2 linked regions of the Mus musculus genome follow. The protein of the gene in region 2 interacts with the protein of the main gene of each other region in a pairwise test. Links are inferred from orthologs where the notes say so. Each region holds a gene or a part of one and is shown on either strand. Other genes may lie near its edges.

What was found.
Region 1: the proteins of Fam114a1 (region 2) and Rab2b interact in binary tests that used the Homo sapiens proteins (3 or more experiments, as listed by UniProt). The two-hybrid records come from large-scale screens. The link is inferred for Mus musculus from reciprocal best matches to the Homo sapiens genes FAM114A1 and RAB2B.

Annotation. Positions count from the first base shown.
Region 1 is NC_000080.6:52,272,750-52,281,150, forward strand, and holds the start of Rab2b (ras-related protein Rab-2B), read right to left. Parts: upstream 6,647-8,401; 5' UTR 6,493-6,646; coding exon 6,447-6,492; exon of another isoform or gene 6,397-6,446; intron 6,237-6,396; coding exon 6,165-6,236; intron 3,872-6,164; exon of another isoform or gene 3,782-3,871; intron 2,762-3,781; coding exon 2,694-2,761; intron 1-2,693. Other genes in the region: Tox4 (TOX high mobility group box family member 4), read left to right, coding at 6,902-6,907, 7,072-7,140. UniProt on the Homo sapiens protein: The small GTPases Rab are key regulators of intracellular membrane trafficking, from the formation of transport vesicles to their fusion with membranes. Rabs cycle between active GTP-bound and inactive GDP-bound states.
Region 2 is NC_000071.6:65,026,404-65,036,825, reverse strand, and holds part of Fam114a1 (protein Noxp20), read right to left. Parts: intron 8,417-10,422; coding exon 8,325-8,416; intron 6,762-8,324; coding exon 6,600-6,761; intron 5,572-6,599; coding exon 5,432-5,571; intron 2,455-5,431; coding exon 2,382-2,454; intron 1-2,381. UniProt on the Homo sapiens protein: May play a role in neuronal cell development.

The sequences.
Region 1 (8,401 bases), on a different chromosome or scaffold from region 2:
ATCTCAAGCATCCTTGTCCTTGGTCAGCTAAAAAAAAAAAAAAAATGTCTAAAGCAGCAAATAGCTAACATGGAGTTTTCTTGTTTGGTTTCATTTTGTGTAATTCTGTAGCCTCGAGATGAAGCTCAGGCCAGCCTTGAATTCACATTGCTCCTCCCTCTGCCTTTTAAGCACTGGCCTATGGGCTGTTTGAATGAGAATTCCCCCCCCCCCTCCAGGCTCATTTGTTTGAACGCCCCAGTTAGTAGGACGGTTTGGGAAGGTCTAGGGGTATGGCCTTGATGGAGGAAATGTGTCACTAGGGCTTTGATGTTTTGGCCTGCAGATCAAGATGTAAAGCTCTCAGCTCCAGCTCCAGTGTCATGTTGGTCTGCTTCCTGCCATGATATGATCACTGAATAACCCCCCAAACTGTAAGGAAGCCCCTAATTAAGTTTCTTTCATAAGAGTTGTCTTAGTCCTAATGTCTTCTCATACAACAGACAATCACTAAGACATGGGAGTAGGAAAGCCACCACACCAAGTTGAACATGGAACTTCAATGAAGCTTTGTAATTTCTCCCAAGTGAGAGTAAGATATACAGTTTGAAATATCAGCTATAAGTCAGATACTGGTTTTGTTGTTGGTCTTTTGTAGGTGATGGGTTTTTTGCTTAGTTTTTTTTTGGGGGGGGCGGGGGGTACAGAGGTATTTTGTTTTTGTTTTTTTGAGAAACCTCTCACTGTTTTGACTGGCTTAGAAATCTATGTAGACCAGGCTGACCCTGAACTTGCAGGGACCCACCTGAGCGCTGGGATGGCATGCATTCCCTTACCAGGCTTGCCTTACAGTTCTTAAGGATCCTATCCACAGGCTCATACAGCCGCGTCTCTAAACTTTCTTCGTGATCCCACCATTGCTCATGTCAGCACTTAAGCACAAAAAGAAAAAGCCACCAACATGGCCATGAAATATCACACACAAAAGCAATATATTGAGATTAGGCAAAGCTTCACCACCAAACTTCATTGATTAAAATTTACAACACAGGAGCCGGGCGTGGTGGCGCACGCCTTTAATCCCAGCACTCGGGAGGCAGAGGCAGGTGGATCTCTGAGTTCGAGGTCAGCCTGATCTACAAAGTGAGTTCCAGGACAGCCAGGGCTATACAGAGAAACCCTGTCTCGGGAAAACAAAACAAAACAAAACAAATTTATAACACAGGCAACTTTTACCTTCAGTTCTCATCTCTGGGCAAATAGTCCACAGAAATTCTCAAACATTTGCAAAAAATTGTAATAAATTAGAATGTTTAAAGAAGCTGTACAATGGTTGAAAACTAAAAACAAAACTAATGTCCATCAATGCAATGGAGGCCGGCTAAAATAAATACATGGTACGAACATTCCGTGACTATGCGGTTGTTAAAACGAGTGAGTCAGATCTGTATTATACTGATAGAAAACGTCTCCAAAATATCAAAACTACTATATAAACAACACAGCTATGTCGACTCTTGTCACAATTCTATACATATTAATATTAATGAAGACAAAAATCTTGGGCTGGCAAGATGTCTCGGTAAGCAAAGAACTTGTCATGCAAACCTGACAACCTGAGCTTGGTCCTCGGGAACCTTTCTTTAAAAGATGGAAAGAGAACCACTGCACAAAACTGACTTCCACTTGCACCAGGTCACATGCACTTACTGTCAAGCACACAGGCAATACATACATTATTTAAATTAACAACAACAACAACAAAAACCTCTACCATTAACTTGCATCTGTCTGTCTACATATCTACCCATCTACCTACCTATCTACCTACCTACCTATCTATCCATCTATATCTACCTATTTATTTATTCATTTTATTTAATTTAGACGGGTCTTTCTTACTCTGTAGCCTGGCTGGCCTGGAACTCACTTTGTAGGCTAGTCTGGTCTACAAAAAAAAAATAACACACAGATATCTGCCTGCCTCTGCCTCCCCAGCTCTGGGATTAAAGGCGTGCGCCACCACTCCTGGCTGACACATTCTATTCTTTAGGGATTTCAGTGCACAGAAGTCTGAAAGAATACACCCTGAATCATTAACAGTGGGGTCTTCTGGCAGAACAGCAACAGTGTGACACAGAAAAGGGCCTTATGTAAGAGGACGGTCACCTTTGGCTACATAAACTTTTATAAGTTTTTATTTTTTACTGTATTAGTTGAGTCTTTTTTAGTTTGCTATGTTTTTTCAAGACTGGGTTTCTCTGTATAGCATGGGCTGTCCTGGAACTCACTTTGTAGACCAGGCTGGTCTTAAACATCCTCCACCTGAGAGTCAAATCATTTCAAATAAAAAAGGTATGATGCTTTGTTTTTGACCTGAATATCTCAGTATGTATTCCCTCTTGGCTTCACCTTTCTTGGGCTCCTTGCCTCATCCTACAGTTTTTGTTTTTTTCTTCTTTTTTGGTGTTTTTGAAACAGGGTTTCTCTGTGTAGTCCTGGCTGTCCTGGAACTCACAGACCAGGCTGGCCTCCAACTCAGAAATCTGCCTGCCTCTGCCTCCCGAGTGCTGGGATTAAAGGCATGCACCACCACGCCCGGCTCATCCTATAGTTTTAAAACTACAGGTGTCTAGCATTCCACAAGGCTGCATTAGCTTTTACTGTTATAACTGGGCCTCAGTCTGGTACTAAATTGTTTTGCCCTCTCTTACCGTATCCCAGATTTGCAGTTTGATTTGTTTTCCATCGATGTTGACCATACGTGCTCCAAACTCCACACCTGTCAGTGAAAGACAAGAGAACGAACATGACTGTAATGAACACATACATGTCCATCTAGAGCCACATACTTTTCCCCAGTGTTATAATGATGAGTCCTTTGTCATCACTCACTGACATTCAGCCCGACAGTGGTTATTGCTCCAATTGAATTTGTGTTCCTTTTAGTTTCTTTTCTAGAATTAAAAACCCACTGACTGGACATGTAGCTCACTTGATACAGGACTTGCCTAGAAGCTCTGGAGTCAATCCCCAGATCCACATAAAACTGGACACAGGACTAGAGAGATGGCTCAGCACTAAAGCAAAGCATGTATGTGCTTCTTGGACTGGAATTGGGTATCAACACCCTCATCTGATAGTTCATAACTGCCTGTAACCCCAACTTCAAGGACTCCAATACCCTGTTCTGGGCCCTATGGGCATCTGCACACTCATGCACGTGCACATCCACATGCATGCCCCAGAACCCCTTAACTGAGCATGGCAGTGATCTAATCCCAGGCCTCATGAGGTAAAGGCAGTAGGAGCCCTAGGATAAGAAGTTCAAGGTCATCATGACTTACAGAGCAAGTTCAGGGTTGGCCTGAGATTACCCTACAGCTACAGGTATAACTCAGCGATAGTGTAACTACTTAGAACATAACTCACTAGGTTTAATCCCTTTCACCAAAAAGAAACAAGTGGATTCTAAGTGATAATGACTTAAGAATAACTCAGATGTAGAAAAGGGAACAAAGCTCATTCAGATAAAATAAATACAAGTAGTCTCACTGTTTTGATTTTACAGTCTGGATGACACTTGCTATATTAAGACCATAGGGGGCTGGGGGCTGGAGATATGGTCAGTGGTTGAGAGCACTTGGTCTTGGAGCAGAACAGAGTTTGGTTCCCAACACCCTTGTCCAGTGGCTCACAACTACCTGTAACTCCTGCTGCAGAGGGGTCAATGATCTCTAGCCCTTATAGGCACCTGTACACACATGTGCAAATACAAACACACATATATACAAAAAAATTTTTTTTAAGATCTGAGGGGGAAAAACCCACGTATGTGTTACCAGAGTTAGTTCTTTCCCTAGATCTGGTTTTATAAATTCTAGTAATAAACTAAGTTTGATTTATTATATAACCAGTTGATTTGTTTTAAGGCCTTATAATGACAGAGACTCTATCTAGATCTTCTTAAGAATTAGCCTTAAGAAAAGTGGCACTGCAGTTACTGTAATGATTTGCAAATAACATCTGAAGAATGTGTACCCGCTACAAAGCAAGTTCTAGGACAGCCAGGGCTATACAGAAAAACTCTTGTCTCAAAAAAAAAAAAAAAAGCCACTACAGGAAAGTTTTTCATAAAATAAACTACAAAGCTACAATTCATAGAAAAAAATTTCTAGAAAATGAACATAACAATTCTGGGACAAATAAAACTAAAAGAGATGAATAAATGCTTAGGAATGTTAGCTTACACTGAAATCTGACTAGGTAATATTTAATTCTACAATTGTTTTCAAAGAACTTCTTTGTTTGCTGGTTTGGTTGGTTGGTTTTGGTTTTTCAAGACAGGGTTTCTCTGTTTAGCCCTGGCTGTCCTGGAACTCACTCTGTAGACCTGGCTGGCCTTGAACTCAGAAATCCACCTGCCTCTGCCTCCCGAGTGCTGGGATTAAAGGCGTGCGCCACCACTGTCAGGCTCAAAGAACTTCTGAACTATTTGAAAGTTAAGTGTTTTGCCTGCATGTTAAGTATGTGTGACGTATGTGGCTGGTACCTGTGGAGGCCAGAAGAACCCAAAGGATCCCCTGGAACTTGAGTGACAGAGGATGATGGGTGCTGGGAATTGAACCCTTGTTCTTGGGAGAGCAGTCGGTGCTCTTAACTGCTGAGTCAGCTCTCCAGCCCATTGATAGCATTTCGCGACAGTGTCTCAGAGTACTGACTAGTTCTGTGTATGAAGCAGCACTTCTTAAACTGCAATTCTAAAACTGTTTTCATTGGCAATTAAAGAAGCTGCCTAAGGAACAGGTCTTCAAGGACAAAATACCTTCAATCACCAATAATTTCCAGAGTACATTGGTAATAGCCTCTCTTAAAGCAGTATGGAAACTGACGAACTGATAGAGCTTTTGACACTTTTCTATTTCTAGGCAAAATTCATCTCTTTCAAGGACAATATTTCAAAAAAACAAAAACCCCACTGCATCATAAGCAGACAATTCATCCCCTTTTCTATTTTCAAAATAGTATTTTGTACATAGCATGAGGAATTCATACTCTATATAAATATTTTTACTTTAAGGTGCTATATGAAATACCTGTTCTGAATACCTATTACCTCAACAAAAATCAAAAAGATATTTTTTTGGAAAAAAAAAATCACTGTCAACTTTTTTTTTCTCTCAGAACAATAAGAATGTAATTTCAATGAGTAAGAAACTAAAAAACAGGCTGAGTATAGTGGTGCATATCTAATCCCAGCATTTAGGACGATCAAGTCAAAATCATGGTCAGGTTACCCAGGAAGCTTAAAGCCAGTCTCGGCGCAAAAACAAACTTATTACGAAAGTCCGTGAGGCTGGGAGTGGTGGCGCACGCCTTTAATCCCAGCACTTGGGAGGCAGAGGCAGGCGGATTTCTGATTTTTGAAGCCAGCCTGTCCTACAGAGTGAGTTCCAGGACAGCCAGGGCCACACAGAGAGAAACCCTGTCCCGAGGGGGTGGGGGGGGGAGAGTCTAATGCAGGAGGATCTCTGGGAGTTTGTGTCCAGTGTGGGTTATATAATGAATCTGAGGCTATTTGCTCCTAAAAGAAGAGAAGGTGAAGAGATTAGAGGAGGTGTCTGTGCAGGAAGAACTGCAATGTCCGTACATTGGCTTTTACCTCTCCAGACTTAAAAGAATCCTATGTTGGTGTTTATGTTGAAAAACATGTGAAGCTGGTAGTTAATAACAAAATACAGATGAGATGTTTAATAAGCAGTCATGTTTCCGTGGGATTTTTCCATAAACATACAAGTTGCATTGGAAGAAAAAAAAATCCTACGGCAACTAGTATCTTACATCCATCTCTAAAGTTACCTTTCAATCATTTATCCTCCACTTACCAGCTTTTATCATTTTTCATATACCATGATTTCAGACCAAGGTAGCGAGAAGTAACTTTTTTTGGTTTTTCAAGACAGGGTTTCTCTGTGTAGCCCTGGATGTCCTGGAACTCACTTTGTAGACCAGGCTGGCCTCGAACTCTGAAATCCACCTGCCTCCCGAGTGCTGGGATTAAAGGCGCGAGCTACCACGCCCGGCCGAGAAGTAACTTTTTATTTAGAATACTGAGACTGTAACTTTCTCCTTTAGCAGTTCTGGCAGCTAGCTTTTAGCTGTTCTGGAACGAGGGGATAGCTTACCTATTGTGAGGTCGTGCACGGGCTGGAACCGCTTGTCGGTAAACTGAAGGAGGAGACATGACTTCCCCACACCTGCGAAAGAACGGTGTTCACTAGACGCACGTCACCCGGGAAGCCGCTGGCTCCCAGACAGGGAACAGGGTCTAAGGCAGGGGCAGAGCCCCGCCCCCGGGGCTCGCCCCGCCCCCTCCGCGCAACTCCGCTCACCCCGCCCCGCCCCCAAGCCGATTTTGGAGGTAGGATCCCCGCCCCAACTCCGAAGGCGGTCCGTCGGCGGGTTACCTGTGTCTCCGATGATGATGTACTTGAAGAGATAAGCGTAAGTCATGGTCCCGAGGCGTCTGTGTTCCGGGTCCTCCCGATTTCTACAGCCACTTACCTCCGACCTCTCTAGCCACTCAATCTACGGGTCTCCTTATTTGCCTCCGCTCCAGCCCTTCTAGCTCAAGCTGCGTCTCTATTGCTCTCCCCCAGAAATCTTCGCTGGATCGGCTGTACCGGACGCCGCCTCTAGGGCCACCCAGTGCTCTTCTACATGCCATTATCCCACCAAGCTCCAGGGGGCGACAGCGACCCTTCGGGCAGCTGGGATCGAGACTGGTTGCGTCCCTGACTCGGTCCAATCATCGGAGAGCGACGCTTTCTCCTTGAGGAAGTGACGCGCTCGGAACCTAGTGGGGGCGGTGGGAGCGATGCGGACGCGGAGACGCTGAGTCGCTGGTAGTGGTGCTGTGAAGATGGAGGTGGGTGCCGAGTCTTTGAGGGCTGATGAGGGTTCGCGGCCGACTAGGGGAAGCGGAAGCGGGAATGCAGGGCAGCGAGGAGCCAGGGGGGCTCGGGAGGGCTGGGGTCTCAGCACGCCACTGCTCCGCTCACTCACCCACCGCGGCTTTCTTTTGGTTTACAGTTTCCCGGAGGAAATGACAATTACCTGACGATCACTGGGCCCTCGCACCCTTTCCTGTCAGGAGCCGAGGTGAGCAAAAGCTGCTGATGCTGGGGCGCCGGAGGGCCTAGGCAGCGGTTAGGGAAGGACGGTGGGGGTGAGCGCGGGGGCTGGCGGGAGCTGGAGGGGACAGTGGCCGAGGCTTCGAGCTCCTCTAAGGACTGTGGAGGGGGTGGGGGTGGGGGAGAACCGAAAGCGGCTGTCATGAGGAAACCAGGATGTTGAAGAGACGGCTTGTTTGAGGAGTTTCTGTTCTGAATAGGAAGAACGAAAGGAATTGTTCTTTGGTTGGGGGTGAAATAACTAACAATCTTGGGAGACAGCAAGAAAGAAAAAAAATTTTTTCAGTAAAGAAATCGAGATAAAGAAAGTTGTTTATCCAGCAGGGAATAACTTCGGACAGTTGTTATTTCTTGAATTCTATAGGGGGCTCTTTTATTTGAAATGTCTTTTCTGATAAAAGTGGTTCATCCTACTGATGTGGCATCTGTTTGCTTGGCTAAAGAACGACAGAGGGAAAGAAATAGCTGCCAGAGAACATAGAAGGGGGTAGAGTGCACCTGTTTCCCAGTGATCACAGACTGACTATGTCACCTTTGGATTCCAGTTGTCAAATGACTATAATAACAGGGTTTGGTTTGGTTTGGTTTGGTTTGGTTTTTAAAGATGGCGTGAAGTAGAAGTAATGGTTGTTGGATGTTCTAAGACCTTCCACAAGGGTCACCTAAGACCATAGGAAAACAGATACTTTGTGATTCATAACAGTAGCAAACTTATATTTGTGAAATAGCAGCGAAAATAATTTTATGGTTGGGGGTCACCATAATATGAGGAACCATAATAAAGGGTCCATGCAGCATTAGGAACGTTGAGAGCCACTGCTGTAAGATATTCAGGAAAACTTTTGGTTGACAGATTTTCCTATTAGAAAGCATAAAACTTATTTGAGCAAGCGAAAGTCAAAGCTGCAGTGTATGAAATTTTACCATTTTTTTTTTGAGAACTTGAGCCTTGGTCCATCTTTTGAGGATTATATACTACCTCCCAAAGTGCTGTGAATTCATTTGCACGGTTGTTTGCACCAAAAGTAGTTATCCATTGCTGTTGTGTCGGTTTATCCTGTGGGAACATTGTTATGGTTGAGAGATGATTGACAGTGAGTGATTGCTAGTTGCTTTTGCTTTTTGTTTTTTGTTTTGGTTTGGTTTGGTTTGGTTTTTTGGTGTTTTTTTTTCTTTTCTTTCCTTTTTCTTTTCCTCTTTCTTTCTTTCTTTCTTTCTTTCTCTCTCTC
Region 2 (10,422 bases):
CCTGCCGGAAACTTGGCTCAGCCAGTGTGGACCTTGGCTCAGGAAAGACCTTGGCTCGGTCACCCTAGGGCTAATTAACAATGCAGAATCCCTCTTCTCACACAGACTGGCTGAATGAGAATCTGCATTTTAACAAGGTCTCCAGGTGGTCGGTGTGCCTGCTTTGGGAAGCACTATGCTAGAGTCTGACACGGTACAAGGAGAAGAAAACTGTGTCACAAATATTACCCACTCCAGGGGAAAAACCTATTCAATGCAAAGCCTATAAAAACCCACAGACAGTCCCCGGGGCACCAAACAGTTGGTTATCTCTGGTCTAAAGCGTGGCGGGCTGCTGATGGGGGAGCTGGGAGGTCAATGGAGAGGCCTGTGTGCATCAGCTCCTCTCTCTGCCACTTGGGGTCCTCAGATATCGAACTGTAGAAAGTGGGGAGATGCAACAGAAGAGCTTGGAACCTGAATTGATGAGGCAAGCCCTCGCACTGCTATGGGAACCCACCATTCCCACCAAAGCCTATCATCGAGTAACTTGAAGTCGAGGGACGTGCTTCCATAGCGATATGTCAACGACTGATAGCCATCTATCAATGGCTTCCATCTCCCCATCACTCTGCTTACCGATGACGATATGGCCTTGCTGAAAACCTAAACTAGGTAAGCCCAAGATAGAATGAGCAAACCAGACTTGACAGCAGAATGGGTTAGTGGCCCACAACTCACCCTTTATCCATAGGCTCACTTAGCAGACATATGGGGGACTGATATCCCATTTCTTTTAAGAACTGCTCTTTGCCTACAGTGCAGTTACACCCAGCAGCTATGTAGGTCTACATGCCACCATCTTGCCCCCAGTCACAGCTGAGTGACATCAAGGTGGTCATCTGCTGTCTGACCTATGCTGGTGGTCTTCTGAAACTTCTGACTCAGAAAAAGGAATGTGAAAGATGAGACAGACCTGGGCGTGGTGGCGCACACCTTTAATCCCAGCTCTTGGGAGGCAGAGGCAGGTGAATTTCTGAGTTCAAGGCCAGCCTGGTCTACAGAGTGAGTTCCAGGACAGCCAGGGCTATACAGAGAAACCCTGAAACCCTGTCTCAAGCCCCCCCCCCCCAAAAAAAAGAAAAAAAGATGAGACATTGTTTCTCTGTTGCTGGGTCCCCAGAGCTGTTCATAGTCTTCCACCAACTTCCATAAAGCATCCCTTTATCTGAGCCATTTATAACCCACCCCCAGAGGCCTCAGAGAGAGCATAGCCCTGGTTTCAGACTTCCAGTCATTCCTTGGAAACTGAAACTGTACATTGCAATAGTAAATACCCCAACTAAAGCCTATTTCCTGTGTCTCTGGGAAAGAGTCAGATCTTGCATCTAGGGGCTTTAGAAGTAGGAAGATAAAAGAGGAGTGTTTCCCACTTAGTAGGGCTACTCCTGCTCTACTAAGGTGGGCTTTATAATACAATTGGTTTCATCATCCCCCATGTATATATGTGTAGTATGGGGGAATCACACATGTTTGCATGCATGTGTGTGCACACGTGTATAGAGGCAGAGGTTGATGCTCAGTGGGTGTCTTCCTCAATCACACTCTTCTTTATTTACTGAGACAAGGTCTCTTGCTGAACCTAGAGCTAGCCCATTTAGCTACTCCTCCAGCAAGCCATCTTGCTCTGGGGAAGGCCCTTGTCTTCCTCCAGAGCACTGCGATTACCAGCACACTCTGGGGATCTGAACTCAGAGTCTCACACTTGAACATGAAATCCTTCGTCGGCTAAGCCATTTCCCCAGCCCACAAGGGCTACCTGGGACAGAAAAGGGCACAACCGAGATAGGTAATCAGAAGCCACACGTTGAAATACATGCAACATTTCACAGCTATTATCTTAAGAACAGAAACACTTAGATGTTAATTGACAACACTTTTTGACAACACTTTTTTTTAAAATTCTTATCATATGTGGCTTATTTAGACTGAGGATAATACTGAACAATAATATTTAAAGTTAGTTATTTTAATAGAGATTCTTGAGTAATGTGAAGATAGATAATAAGCAAAGGAAAAGTACCTTCCTTTGACACCCTTTCTTTTGATATATGAATAAGGCCAGGTCCACGGAGATCTGACCACCCACCACAGTCCAGATGATGTCTGAGACAGCAGACTGGAGTCTACAGCCCAGGCAGACAGCAGACTGGAGTCTGTGCCCATGGCAGAGGAGAGCCCTAGGCTAGTGGTGCTTAGAGAGGGGACCTCTGCCTGATTTTAGAAAAACAGCATGACACAGCTGTGATTATGGAGTTGTGCTAAAAAGTGTCATAGTCCTGACTTCTCACAGCTCCACTTCCCTCAACAATGTAAGAAAATAACCCGAATTGTATTCTTACCCCAACAGTGGTTAAAGAATTTGTAAACTTCTTCGATAAGGAGGTTACTTCATTGCACATTGCTGTGGTTAATCTGAAATAAGGAAAAAAAAAAAAAGAGGTTTGTGGGATTTTCTATAAAGTAACGTAAACCTTGTGATGATTAGCATGACATGAATGGCAGTATGACGTCAAAAGCAGAGATTGAAGTCGCTCTACAAAATTGTGCAGTCATCCTCGACAATCATCCATGGTTCACAGTTTTCTTTCCATGTTTAATTAAGGAACAATACTCTAATTAATTTGCCCTCCTTTTAGAATCAAAGCCACGTGCAGGGAAATAGCAGGCCTGAGCATCTTTTTCACAGGAGTGCAAACTCGGGCCAGGTGACTTTCCTCCGGTGTCTGGGTCATTTTAAAATAATGAACGTTCAGTGAGGCACTCGTTCACATGTCATCTCATGACTAAACTGAATCTGCCAAGTCACCTGCATGGGGCATACAGTGGCGAGTGTAGAAAGGGGATTAAAATGCAAATGCAGGCATTCATTCAACATGCATGCATGCACACACACATGCATGCACCCTTCTTGGTGCTGGAGAACAACCCAGGGTCTCGGGTGTGACTCGGCAAGCATCTAACTCCTTCCTTTCCCTTTCAGCAGTGTGTCACTATGTGTCTCAGTCTGGCGTGCCTTGACTTCCAAAGATCCTCCTGCCTCAGCCTACAGAGATCTGGGACAGTGGCCGTGCTCTACCACATCCAGATTCTCCCTGCATCCTGCTTGTGTGACTCCTATTTGCCTCAAAACAACGATCCCTGGAAATTCTCTTTACATCTCCAAACGTGGACTTTCCTTTGGCCATTCCCTTTTAAGTCTTTACTCCAAGAAAATGAAGCAAGAGAGACAAAATTAATCAGAAGGTTTATACTAACACCACAGATGACAAAGACAGAAAACAATATGATTGCCAAATATATTGTGTGTCCTGTCTGATTTTCCCCTAACAATTACAGTGTGTGGTTGATAGTGAATAAAATACTATTAGAAAAACAAAAGAATATTTCATGTTAGGAGAGCTACTGAAGGCAAAGAAAATGGTTTGTTTTGTCTTGTTTTTTTTTTTTTTTTTGATAGAGATTCTGTCTAATCTATATATGCAGGGTTTTCTTTGTGTATGTGTAGCGTTTTCTTTTGTGTATGTGTAGGTGCTTGTATGTGCATACGCCACATGCTGGGGGAAGGAGGTATGGATCCTTCTCTGAGATTACAGCTGCCTGCGGCCCTGTCTGGCTTTTTGTGTGTGGGGATTGGAGTCAGGTGCTCAGGTGAACACAGCGGTACTTTAGCAGATCAGTCATCTCTCTGCCCTCCGCTCCTGTGTGATGCCGGGGAACAGACCTAGGGCCTCCATGTGCTAGCAGGCTTGCCACTGAACTACACCCCTAGGCCTAAGTACTAGGTATGATGAACCATATGGAGGTGTCCATCCATCCATCTGAAATTTGTCTGAAGAAGTCATTGTGGGTGAGGCCAGAAGACATCAGAGACCATACTGTGTGCTCTTGGGAAGGTGGTGGGAGGGCACTCACTGAACCGACTGACCAGCTCGGGGTCAGCACAGCTGGATGAGGTTGGCACAAACAAGGGAATCGGAAAGGTGCTAAGAGCAAGGTCCTAGGACCCACGTCATGGGATTTCTGAGCCTTAGCCCTCCCCTTTCAGGTCTTTACAAAGGCAAGGCAGTAGCTAGACACTGCCCTCAGCGTTTCAAAACCTTTCTTTTTCTTTCCATATGTTAGAAAATACGCTATCTCTCTAGAATTATCACATACTGTGAAGTTTATTTCTAAATACATAATTTTCCTTGTCAGATGTAGTAAAATTAGTGAGATGGTGAAGTGCATATGAATAATATGGTAGGTGTGTGTGTATGTGTATGTGTGTGTTCTTTCTTGGGTGATAATTTGGCTCCCTTGTTTTAATAATAACAAAGGGGTATTTGAACATCTGCTGATAATCCACATGTCATAATATATAATTATACACATAAAAGTTAATGATTTATTTTTAGCAATATTTTCTATTTTCAAAAAGATTTCACACCAACTGTTTTCATATATATATATATATGTATATATATATACATATATACACATAGCTTATGTATATTCATGTTTGCATAATACTAGATAAATTAACAACAACAACAACAACTGGTTATTGAAGAACATAAACTTCAGTGTATGGCACAGGAATGCAGCCTGCAGTGAACTGTCTTGCATTAGTGGCTAGCATGCCCAGAGAACAGACCAGGCAGGTCAGGTAACGTTGCTGAAAAGGGTGGTGTGTGTCTGCCTACTTTTGTATGGGGAACTGAAAAGTTATATTAGACTGTCCTTTCTCTGTTGGTATGGTATGAATATGTAGTTACCCTCAATGTTCTGTGCCTTGAAGAAATCAATCTATTAAAACAAACATGTTTATACCTCTGAATGCATTAGTGTGTCTCCTCTTAAATCTCTCAAAAACTCCTATGTATTATTACTATTATTATTATTGCTGTATAATGTATTTTCTAAGGGAGTCCTTATCTTCTATGTATTATTATTATTGCTATATAATGTATTTCCTAACAGAATCCTTATTTCTTAAAATGACCATAACAGTTGACATGAAAATCTAAATTTTCAGGTGTTTAGGGTACATGTGTATGTGCATTTGAATGGCACACATTCACATGTCCACACATGCACACGCACACGCACACGCACACACACACACACACACGTATACATGCACACACACACATCCACGTCCACACATGTATACATGCACACACGTCCACACATGTATACATGTACATAACACACACACATGCATACATGCACACACACACGTATACATGCACACATACACACATGCATACATGCACACACACATCTACACATGCATACATGCACACACACACATACATGCACACACACATGTATACATGCACACACACACACATGCATACATGCACACACACATACAATCTAAAGGGGAAGAATTGAAAGTTGCATTAACTTTATCAGAACTCTTGCTTGGTCTTGAGCTGGTTTCTCCTCCTCTTGTCCATGGAGAATCAACTCTGCAACCTTATGTAGCTGTTCAATGCAGCGTGCAGTGACTTCAGCCAGACTTTCAATGGACAGCATGTACACTTCCTGAAATGGACGCACACAAGAGAATTACTCACTAAGCAGCCTCTTTTCAAAAACCCCCATCGCGTTAAAAAACGGGACATGATTCGAAGCACATACTGTATTGCTGAACTACACCCTGGCCCCTAGATGATGTAATCCTGTATCCCTATAAAATTCCAAGGGTGTGGGGGCGTGGCTTAGTCAGTAAAGTGCTTTTGCACAAGCATGAGAACCTGAGTTTGTGTCCTTAGCACCTTCCTAAGTGCTGCACAGCTTTAGCCTCAGGACTGGAGGATGGAGATGGGCTGATGGCTGGGGGTCACTGGCCATAGCCAATATTATGTTAGCTCCAGGTTCAGTGGCAACCTCTGGTCTCCACACAAAGACAAACCATGCATTACATACAAAATGTGTGTGTGTGTGTGTGTGTGTGTGTGTGTGTGTGCACTCAATGGCAACGCTGCCAGGTCCCCAGGGATAAGACAAGCCTATTCACATTTGTGTCTTCAAGAGTCAGGCTGTTGCTGGCCACACACTAGGCAGGTTATGGTAAGTGGGGTGCGTGGAAGAGAAGATGCATGGCACACTCCAGTGGACATTTTTCTTTGGAGAACCATACCTTTGTCACTTTAAAATTGGAACTCAGCATAAGGAACAATTATCACAGATGACTTTTGGAGCACAGGCAGGACATAAAGTATAGGCATATGAGTGTACTAAACTGCAGGAAAGAAGCCACAGCATTGAAAGAGAGCTCCAATTGCCTCATTAGCAAGGGAGCATAAAGACAATTTATAGTAGCAGATTTGCATAAAGATAAATCAATTATGTTCTGGAAGATCTTTCTGCTTTTAAATTATAAAATTATGGAGAAAAGCTACAAAATCTACGCTAAGCCATAAATTGTCTTGGGATAGAAATCTGGATTGTCTATTGCAGTCTTACTAGGATGTAGGGCATGGTGTAAATAGAAAGCGGTCCTCCTCGCTTTAAACGAGGCTCCTTATAGAATTATCACAGATAACTGTGGCTGATGCAGGCAGGTTTACCTCTACAGTCTTAGCTCCTTGGCCCCCTGTTTTGTCTTCTTCAGGTTCTTCGGCTTTCTCTTCCTTTCCTTCTTCCTTCTCTTCCTCCTCCGACCCTTTGGCCACATCTATCGACACCACGCTTTGATCTTCTTCCACCCAGTCATGAGCTTTCTTCATGGCCTGCCATGGTCCCAACCAACCAAACAACACATTTAGTGTGGGAATGTGAAAACCAAGTGCTCTCAACCTGGACCCTCCAGGGCAGACGAGGAGACAAGGGCAGAATGGAAAGTATATAGAACACATCGAACTTCTAAAAGGGTATTTTAAAATGACATTCAGATGAGGAAAAGGACAGAAGCTGCAAAATCTACAATGTATTTTTCGTGGTTCATGGCTGGTGATAAAAAGATGAACTGTACTCTTTATCGAATAGGCTAGAAATCAGTAGAAGTCATGGCTGAAGCCAGGTTCCTCCTGTGGTGGTTTTCCTAAAGCCCTCGTCATCTCAGGAAACAATAACGTATAGATGGGAAGAAGATCAATGGCTTTGCTCCTTCAGATTCATGGCAGGCCCTCTGTCCAACCTCTAGGATGAGCAGAGGGCTGGCACTCCAGGAGAGCCACATAAGCAACTCGTGACTTACAAAATCGTAGCTAATTGGAAACTGCCGAGACCACCTTCCTTACCCGGCCTATTGATTCCTGAATTCCGAGACAGGACAGACTTATCTAGAGCCCATCGGATCGTTTACAACGTTTGCTTAAGTAGAAGATGTCACTCATCTTATGCTAAAACACTGAGTTACCTTAAAGCCTATGTCAATGTTTAACATGTCAGAATGTTGGGAGGTATTTTAAGAGATAGCAGATTAGGGGAGAGCCACCCTAAAAAGAACTCTTTTAGGAATAAAGGCTGACCCATGCAACTGAGAAGTCCACCCCTCTCCACTCCAAGCTGTGGCAGGTGCTGTAGGGAGATGAACGAGGTAATTTCCCAGCTGACCTGTCGGCTCACTGACCCCTAACAGAGAGAAAGAAATTCCTCATCTCACCGCTTCTGTACCTCATTCTGTCCTTCCTTCACCCATTATAACAGGTGAGTGGCTATGCAAACCACTGCTAGGTCAGGTAAGAGTCAGGAGGAAAGCGAGAGGGAGATAGAAAAGAAATCACATAGCCTTGGGTAATTAGTGACCAGCACCTCCTTAAGGAATCCTACAGTTAGACCTGGTTCTAACTTGCAAAATGCACTGTGAAGTTAGAGGAATCTGTAATGGCAAAGCTGGACTTTCCTAAGATGTGTTGGAGCGGCAGCGGCAGCCCAGGTGGGCGGAAAGGTCTGAGCTTCCCTCTTCGCTCTAAAACCTGCATGTCTCTTTAAAAAGCAAGGGTGGGAGAAGAGTCTGGAAAGTCCCGTGATGCCCCCCCCCCCCCCCGAAGATAATCATCCTCTGACAGAACAGTCTATTCCCCTGTGAAAGGGCAACTGACTTTCTCAAGGTCACTAGATAATTACTCGTAAATTACAGAATGGGAGGTCTCAGAAGCCTTGCATCCATTAGGGTGCCTCCGAAGGTACCAATTACTGACCTCAGACGCCTCTCCCCCTGTTATGTCGTGGGGGGGGGTGTTGGCGGGGTTTTCCCCCCATTTCTTGCGAATCTGAGGAATCTTACCACCAAGACCCTCTTTCTCCAGTCCCCCTTTAAAACCAAAGACACAGAAAGGGTTGGTTCCGACCTTATTGAGTTTGTCAGGTGTGGCGGCGACGTGTAATTCAAACAGGAGCTCTGTAAGCATCCTGGCAAATTCTTCCCCGCTTTCTTCTAGGCCTAGAAACAGAACACAACAGCAGTAAGAGGCGCGATGCATTTATTTTTCATCCTTCAGAACGTGGCAGCTCCCCTGACTTTGCAGGAGCACTCAGGGTAGACTAAGGGGGGCTTTGGCAGTGCGCCCTGAGGCTGCCTGGGAAGATGGATGTCACGTCTTCCATCGGTGAGCACAGCGGGGAGGCAGCAGGCTGCCTGGAGAGCTCTGCTGAAGCCTAGCTGCAGGCCTCTGGCACTAGGGCACCCTGGGCTGGCTCAGGGACAAAGGCAGGTAGGGAGAGAGACCTTGTGTGTCTTGGGGCCACAGCTGTAGCAGCCCATTGCTGACAGAATGAGTATGTATGACCTGTGTCAGGCCTCTGGTACCCGCTATTCGGAAACTGGTTAGGCTTCCTATAGCAACTTTGACAATGCCCAGGGTGTGGTGCTGAGGAAGGGACTGGCAGGGCTGGGTGAGTGGAAGTCTCATGTGTGCTCTAATGTAATACCATCTCTCTGGAGAAATTTCCCAAGGTTCTCTAGAAGACCTGTGTGGTACTATAATACTTTTTAAGATCTATTTTCTCAGATGGGAAGCTATCTAAGGACAGAGAAGAGTTTAACTCATTCTTAACATGATCCCTGGAACATAATAGGTGCTAAAGAAAATATTATTTGAATTGATAATCTATTAAGATATCATATGATATAGAATACAATAATCATATAATATTTGTTATATAGTATATTTATACATCATAAAATAAAAATAAATATCCCTGGATGGGCAGTGGTGATTACAGGGCTTTAATTATAGCCTTCAGGAGGCAGAGACAGATGGATTTCTGTGAGTTCAAGTCCAACTTGATCTACATAGTGAATTCCAGGACAGCCAGGACTACACAAAAAAATCCTGTCTCAAAAAACCAAAAACCAAAACAATCAAACCAAACCAAACCAAACCAAACCAAACCAAACCAAACCAAACCAAACGAAACCAATGAACCAAAAATATCCATGGTAGGAAACAGAGATTGTTAAAAGCTGCACTCTCTGCTCACTTCTCTCATTTGCAACTTCAAGACAAGACCATCTTAAAGTTTCTGGTAGGTGCTAAAGTACTGATTCCACAATGGGTTTATGAGCCCCACTGAGGGAGAATAAAGCATCATTCATCTGGCCCAATTGCATGTGTGCAAAACCCTCAGTGAAGAGGTTACCCGGGCTTATGCCAGAGCCCAGGTAATACCTCTGGGGAAGGCTAAGCCACGTGGAAAATACTGTACCTAACACTTGCATGGTCATGAGCATGGCATTCACATGAATAGATTAGTGTCTGTGTAAAGAATCCCCAGAGAGCTGGCTGGCCTCCACTCCCACGGGAGGACACAGCTACAAGAAGCTGACTGTGACCCAGAGATGGACCTTTGCCAGACACCAGATCTGCCAGCTCTCTGATCTCAGACTTCCTTACGGAACTGTGAGAAGTAAGTTCCTGTAAGGTACGCTGCGATGTTTGCTACGGCAACCTAAACAGGCCAAGATTAGGAGGGAGCTATGAGGAATGGATGTGCCTTGAAAAGCTGGAGCCTCCTGAAGCATCCGAGTTCTCATTCAGCGTCAATTCCCACCAAACACATTTAAAATCTTCGTGTGCTCGTGTCAATGTGCTACATAATAATTCACTTACACCACTTTTCCTTTTTTTTTTTTTTTTTTTACAAACAGTTCTATATCGTATTTGCTTCATATAGTAACCGAGAAGGGAAAGACGACGTGGGGGCGGGGGTGTAGTCCCCACCTGAGGATAGCTTCTGGATCAGGGGAGAAGTGTTCTAGACGCTTGGCAGTGGCAATAAAGTCTAGCAGGGAATGTGCCTGTCAAGTTCTGGGGGGCAGTAAGGAGGCCAGGGTGGCTGCACAGAATGAGCAAGATGGGTGCCCTGGGTGTAGATGGGGGCAACTGCCTTAGCTCAGGATGGAGCGGTAGTGGGACTCATTCCAGCCAGGAAGGTGAGTGCTGTGAT